Linked DNA regions of Mus musculus. The protein of the gene in region 2 interacts with the protein of the main gene of each other region in a pairwise test. Links are inferred from orthologs where the notes say so. Each region holds a gene or a part of one and is shown on either strand. Other genes may lie near its edges.

Region 1 (4,081 bases), on a different chromosome or scaffold from region 2:
TCTGACCTACTCTTTCAGAATTGAGTAACATTTACATTTTTATTCTGTAGCCTGCCCCTGGTCTCTTCCCTTCCCTGACTGTCTCCCTGGCCTCCAACTCTGGACAATTCTTCTATCCTCCTGAGGGACCCCCCAACCTCATCCAACAGCAGCCCCACCCAGCACAGGCCTTACAGGCATGGCTCTCCACACCTGGGGAAAGGTGCTTTGTCCTGCCAGCGGGTGCCTGGGAACAGCAGGAACAGGGGCCCCCACACGGAACAGCTGCTGAATCTTGTAGCAAACAGTGGAGTAAATCGGTACAACTGGATCCAATTCCAAACACAAACTGGCTTAAAAAAAGGAAACAGCAAGTCCAAATTACTTCGGCTTTTTTTTTTTTTTTTTCTTTTTTAGAGGAAATCCTAAAACTGCTGTAGATTGCAGTGTTGGGAAAACAAGCTCGTGTTTCCAGTTTCTGTACCACTACTTCCCCACTCTGAGCTGTTCAACTCAAGGAGTTCAAGCATTCATGCTGACTCAGTTTTGTCCCCACCGTCAGAACAGAAGTATGACCCAAACGGTACGCTGGGCGGACTAGGAACAGAGACAAGCTGATGTCCGCTTGGCTGTTTCAAGTTTACCAATCCATACTCATTTAGTGCAAACATTGTGTTGGTCAGGTCTATGGAGGTACAAAGAATGACCTTTCCAGAAAGGGCAAACCTAAAATCTCAGCAGAAGGTCTCAAGGTCACTGACCCAGGACAACCCTGGAGACTGGAAACTCCTGGGTCCTGATCCGCACCGGAGGAGGTGGGGGTTCGAGGCCGCGTAGTGAAAGAGCTAGCGTGGGCAGTTCTTTTGTACTCCAGCTGGAGTAAAATGAACGCAGGCTCGCGTGTTTTCATCGCTGGTGACAGCATCCAGCAATGGGAGTAGGGCTCAGGGGCGCGCAGCGGTGCTTTCTCAGCAGGGTCCCCCGAGAAGCCGGAGGAGGGGGTGAGCGCTGCGCCAGAGGACCCGGGAGCCCGGAGGCGAGGGCAGGGGGCGCGGGGCGCGGGGCGCGGACTGGGCTGCGCGCCTGTCCAGGGTGCCGGCAAGCAGGAGCCGCGGCGAGGGAAGGAAGTAGGAAAGAGGAAGGAAAGGCGGGAGGGGCCGGCCGCGCGGCTGCAGTTTCTGCGGCCGGCCTGGTAGGAGGAGCGGGAGGAGCGGGAGGAGGATCCCGAGCCGTCCGTCAGCGGGCGCGGGAGGTGGGGAGAGCGGGAGGAGGAGGAGGATTAAAGATGGCCACCAGCAGCTGCGGGAGACGGCCACCAGCCCTCACTTTCCGGGATGTTCCCCGCGGCCCGGCCCGGCCTTGATGGAGAGGAGCAGCCCGTGCAGTGCCGAGGCTGAGGCGGCGGCGGGGACCCGGCGAGGGAGAAGACGCGGCGGAGCAGGGACCCAGGCGGGAGAAGGGAGCGGCGGCGGCGTCGCTGCCCTGGCTGCCTAGCACGGCTGCCGCCCCGGCCCCGCAGCTCGCGGACTGCAGCGGGCGCTCGGCCCCGGCCCGGCCTGGGGGGACTCCCGGGCCCCACGCCTGGGCCCGCGCGTCCGCGGTGAGTGCTGCCTGCCCGCTCGCCGGCTCGCCCGCGGCGCGCTTTGTTCCTGCGGGGCGGAGGCGCTGTCCGCGCGGGGACAGGCCGCGGCCCAGCCGCTCCCCCACCCGCGTCCTCCTCCGGGCCTGGAGAGGGCGCCGTCGGCGGCTGGTCCCAGGCGGCCGGCGGAGGGGCGTGCGGGGGCCTCGGGGATGGGGAGGCGGGGGCAAGGCGACCGCAGGTCCGGGAGGGCGGGGGCGTAACCCGGCGGCGCCCGGGGTAGGTGGGGGTCATGCCGGTCCCCTCGGGAGGACCCTCCCGGTGCCCATTCCCGGACCCCCCAGCCCCCACCCGCGCGCGCCCGGGCGCAGCGGAGCGCGGCCTCCATCCCTCGGGCGCCGTCTCCAGGGCCGCGGGCCTCTCCTGGCTCATCCCTCTACGCTCTGAGCTGCAAACCCTTCCCTGTGGAAGGGACCTGGGATGCTTCTGTCCTGCATCGGGGATGTGGTGGCATCACCGACATTCGCGGTTATGGCGGGGTTGAAAAGGCAGCGGTGACCTTTCCGACCAGAGCCCTCTGGACCATGGTCGCATCGGAGGTGCTGCGTTCCATTGATTTTTTGACTCTTGAATCGGAGAGACAGATGATGAGTTCTTCCTTTGTAGAAATAATAGGATAGAATCAGATCAAGCAGATGTTTACCGAATGCATGGATTTTCAGTACCTCACCAATGGCTAAGTGTTTTTTCTGTGGGAAAAATGGTGCTTATGCATACGAAAAACTATTTTTGTTCACTAATAGCTATGGGTTGGTCAGTACCAAGTGGTTATTATGGTGTCTGAAAACCCAACAAAAAAAGAAAAACAAAACCCTTGCGTCGAGACAGCAGATTCCAGGCTGGCCTCTATCAAGCAGGTTTAGATCAGTTTTCACTGTCAGGATGTAAAGCAAGTAAAAATAACAAAACAATGAAAAATGTACTTATTTACAGGAAAATGGGATGTGGTATTAGTGTAGAGTCTAGGAGAAAGACTATAGTCTGTTAGTGTATAGATCTAGTCAAAGTAAATCCCTCTTTAAATAAAACTGTCATCATGGGACCCTGCTGTGTAAGAATTAGCTTGATATGCATTTAATGTTTAAAAAAAATCTGTATTTCATTAGGTTTGAGAACTAAAACTTTGAGCAGTTCTGCCTCAAGCAACTAGAAATACAGGTTTTTAAATAGTTTCTCTTTTCCTTAGTTGAAATCTATTCATGTAAAAATATGCTTCTCACAAAAATTTCTCTACAAATGTGCTATGAGTTAAGGAACATGAGGCTTTGAAGTAACTTGGAAAGACATGAAAGAAAGTTAAACCGTAGTGTAATATTCCAGGATCAGATTCTGTACTCTGAGGATGCTGAACTCCACAAGTCTTCACTGTTTACCTCTGGTGTCCTAAATATCACCAAGGTGCTGCATTCAGTGGGGTCTTAGAATTTCTAGAAATTATCCTCAGAATGTAGCCTACATCGGGGCTCCCCCACCCCCATTTGATCTGGAACCACAAAAGATGGTAAACAACTGGGTATCGTAGTTTAAAAAGAGTAAATATCCTACCTGGGTATGGTGACTCATACCTGTTGGCCAGGTACTGGGAGGCTGAGAAGAGCGTGAACGTCTAAGTCTTGTAGATGCAGGCAAGTCTGAGGAAAAAAAATTAGTTTGTGTACTTTCCACCTGTCTCTGTCTAATGCTTGTGATGGAGAGTGTATCAGAGTACCACGGAAAGATGGAGAGGATCCCAGGATAGCATGCATGTAAAGTATTCATCCGTGTATTCTCATTCAGACACGGGGAAGATGCTGATCCCATTGTACAGATGGGGAATTAGGCAACTTTAGGGAAAGTCTAGGACCCAGATTGCCTAAGTTTAGAGCCAGTGATGATCAATGTTTTAGGATACCAATTAGATGTGAAGACCGGAATGGCATGGCATTTTGGAGTCATGGGCTTTCAGTGCAGAGGGCTCAGTGACGGGCTTGCTGGGGTGACCCAGGTATGCACACAGCTCTGCAGCCACACCCCAAAGCTCTTCTCGCTGCATCCCCCTCCCCAACCACCCACCCTCTAGTGTTATTGTTTTCTGTGATTCCAATGGCACAGACCCTTGCGTTTCCATCATGACTGTTGTGTAGAATCTGCTTGTCTGGCGTCTGCTCTGAGTCCCAGCCCCTTCTGCACAGCGGATACTTTTCTCGCCCACAGCACCATTCACAAATTAATGGCCGATTTGGTTTTTTTCAGGTTGGGTTTACTCAGGAATCATCTCCATGTAGTGACGCTTTATCTGAATGTGCAGTTGGGTGGTCTGTCTTACAGACAAGCAGAGGCCATTCATACTTCCCTAGGAAGGCCCTTCATGGCCCTTTGCTTAGTCCTCAGATCCTTGGCAACCATTAATGTCCTCTGTGGAACACCGTCCAGATGCCTCGTGGTGCAGAATGTTGCCTTTTGTGCCTTCGTGCGTTTAGTGTA
Region 2 (3,206 bases):
GAAAAGAACTTCAGCAATTTCCCCCGGCAGTACTTTGCCCTAAGGAAAATTCTTAAACAGCTAATTGGTGAGTTGTTCCCAAGAGGATACTGGCAGAGGGCATGTAGAGGAATGGAAAGTTCAGATCCTTCCAGTGAGCTTCACTCTTCTTAGGCCCACCCCACCTGCCCCATTACCAGCTTTCTGTCTCACCTTGAATCGTAGAGTTCAGAGAAGAAGCCTTAGGTGTCATCTGCTCTAAATAGGGACCTAAACACAGTAAAGGGTTCCTAACTCATTAGGAGGAGTGAGCATGGACCGCATTTACCATCTTAGCCAGGAAAATGAAAGGGAACATCATTGTTAATATTTGTGCATAGAAGAAGAGTCACAAAGCAGGACTATTTCAGGATGCGAGTTCCTGTTTATCCTCTCCCCAGCCCCTACTGCCCACTCGATATGGATCCTTCTCTCTGGCCCTCACTCAGACAGTACCTTTCACTATTCCATTCAGCAAAAGCAAGCATGATTTGAGGTCAACCAGCCCACAGTGTTCTGGGAGCCTTGCAGGCTGTGCACAGGGAGGCTGGGAAAGTGAGGCAGGGACGTTTAGCTATTCCCATCCTCATCTAGCTCCACTCTGGCTTCTTCCGCCAGCGGATGTGACTCTGGACCCCGAGACTGCTCACCCTAACCTCGTCCTGTCAGAGGATCGGAAAAGCGTCAAGTTTGTGGAGACAAGACTCCGAGACCTCCCTGACACACCGCAGCGTTTCACTTTCTACCCTTGTGTCTTAGCTACTGAAGGCTTCACCTCAGGTCGACACTACTGGGAGGTGGAGGTGGGTGACAAGACCCACTGGGCAGTAGGAGTATGCCGGGACTCTGTGAGCAGAAAGGGCGAACTGACTCCACTTCCTGAGACTGGCTACTGGCGAGTGCGGCTGTGGAATGGGGACAAGTATGCAGCCACCACCACGCCTTTTACCCCTTTGCACATCAAGGTGAAGCCCAAGCGGGTAGGCATATTCCTAGACTATGAGGCTGGCACACTGTCCTTTTACAACGTCACAGACCGTTCACATATCTACACCTTCACTGATACTTTTACTGAAAAACTTTGGCCCCTCTTCTACCCAGGGATCCGGGCCGGTCGGAAGAATGCTGCACCACTTACCATTAGGCCCCCAACAGATTGGGAATGACAAGAGATGCAGTTTAATTGGGGTGAGGCAAGGTCAAGAGCGGTGGGCCTTCCTAACTGGCCTGCTAGAATATCTTGGTGTCTCCGTGGTTCCAGTCTTGAGCCATCTTGAGAAACCACCTCGCATCTGGGATGGTTTGTGTGAGGAGTAAAGATAGGACTGGGCTGCATGACCAAGCACAGATGAGTGTCCCTCCTTACTGTAGTGGGAGAGTGGACTCCCAGGGGATTGTACTCTGGTGTCCCGCAGGTTTCCTAGTGCACGGGGACAGGTTGAGAAAGCAAAAGCTTTCCAGAAACAAAGTCTATAGGAAAGGGTCTTAACTTGCTTAAAATGCAGGAAACAGAAACCTTTAAAAGGCTTCTGTGACGCAGAATAGCCTTGTTCCTTGTGGGAGCGCACAGGGGTCTGTATACCTCGGTGTCGGAAAGATGAGTGGCAGTTGCTGTCATGAGTCTAGAAGTCGAGGGGCTTTTCCGGGGCCAGAGCTTGAGCATTAAAGTTAGGAGAAGGATCAGGGAAGAGGCTGAAGGAATGTTTCTAGGATGAATGAAGGGAAGGGGGTTTTCTTTGGTCTCTTTTCTTCTTAGGGTAATGCTATCATTACCCATAGGATTAGCCAGAGGTTCAGATTTGGGGAGAAGGAAAGGATGGGGAAAAAGGAGACTCCATGTCCCAAAGGCTTGCGTTATTCCTGTTTCCTGCAGTTGGCTGTCTCTAAAAAGTAGGCTCCTCTTGCTTCCTTCTAAAGGTGAGATGGAAGCAATCCTGCAAGACATACATCTGAGCCGGGCGTGGTGGCATACCCGGGAGGCAGAGACAGGCGGATTTCTGAGTTCAAGGCCAGCCTGGTCTACAAAGTGAGTTCCAGGACAGCCACAGCTATACAGAGAAACCCTGTCTCAAAAAACTCAAAAAGAAAAAGACATACATCGGTCCTTCCATTGTTTCCCAAGGCAACTTGGAGAGGAGTCAGATATTAGAGGAGAGAGAAAGGTGTAGCTAAAGCCTTGGCCTTAAGGAATGTTCCTAAGTGGTTATTCCCAACTTGTCCACCTTGCCCCCTGGCTCAAAGACCTAAGGAAAGAAGGGAAGGTGATGGAGTCTTTCTCACCCATGAGAACAGGGTAGAAGAGGGTGGTTTGTGTAGCAAAGGGCCAGAAGACAGCTAAGCTTCTATTTCTATCCTTCACCCTTTGACATTCCCCTTTTCAGAGAATGTAAATTATTTTAATTTTAGGCCAAAATAAACAACCCATAGGGTACATATTTTGTCACAAAAGGTACCAGATGCATGCCAAACCAAACAACCTGGATTATCTGCTGCCTGGGTAATCTTCACACAAGACTGAGACAAGAAACTGCAGTGAGGGCATTCAGTTCCTCCTACCACCTCAACAGGACTTTGTCCACTCTACTCTTACCTTTGTGCCTTGACTGTGGTTCTTTGTGGCAAGATAATTGGTTGGTGAAAATATGGAACAAAGGATCCACTAATGTGATCTCTTGAGTTGCGTGGTAATTTGTCAGTGGATGGGTGTGGAAACTGTATGTTCTTGAGTCTCACCTTCTGTCCTTAATGGAGGTTTGGGTAAGCTTAGGAATCCACATTTTAATACACTCCCCTCATTTGTCTCTGAAGGCCCATACAAAACACCCAGGGTAAGTTTCAACGAATTGCCTAACTCTGAGCCAGCAGTCTGGTTCCCCACAGATCCTGCAGGGGCCTGGATCCCTCTGCTTCTGACCTTAGCCAGTAACTGGGAATCAGAAGTAAACACCAAGCCAGGTTGAATAAATGAGAAAAGGTCAGAGGAAGGAGGGTGAAGTAGATACTAATAAATAGCCGAGGAGACCGGCCATGCTGTTGTCTGGTTATTTGTGCTGTTCATGTAGCTACTAGCCCTTGGAACAGCAAGTGCCTTTAATAAGAAGTGGGAGAAAGGCAAGAAGCTCTTTGCTTAGGGATGTTTTGTCCTGTTAACTTATTTCCTCCCTTGTGATCTGATCTTTCACACTTTC

What was found. The genes of interacting proteins can lie anywhere in the genome.
Region 1: the proteins of Trim39 (region 2) and Wdfy3 interact in binary tests that used the Homo sapiens proteins (3 or more experiments, as listed by UniProt). The two-hybrid records come from large-scale screens. The link is inferred for Mus musculus from reciprocal best matches to the Homo sapiens genes TRIM39 and WDFY3.

Annotation. Positions count from the first base shown.
Region 1 is NC_000071.6:102,067,094-102,071,174, reverse strand, and holds the start of Wdfy3 (WD repeat and FYVE domain-containing protein 3), read left to right. Parts: upstream 1-1,253; 5' UTR 1,254-1,579; intron 1,580-2,813; exon of another isoform or gene 2,814-4,081. UniProt on the Homo sapiens protein: Required for selective macroautophagy (aggrephagy). Acts as an adapter protein by linking specific proteins destined for degradation to the core autophagic machinery members, such as the ATG5-ATG12-ATG16L E3-like ligase, SQSTM1 and LC3.
Region 2 is NC_000083.6:36,258,352-36,261,557, reverse strand, and holds the end of Trim39 (E3 ubiquitin-protein ligase TRIM39), read left to right. Parts: coding exon 1-67; intron 68-612; coding exon of another isoform or gene 613-636; coding exon 637-1,184; 3' UTR 1,185-2,685; downstream 2,686-3,206.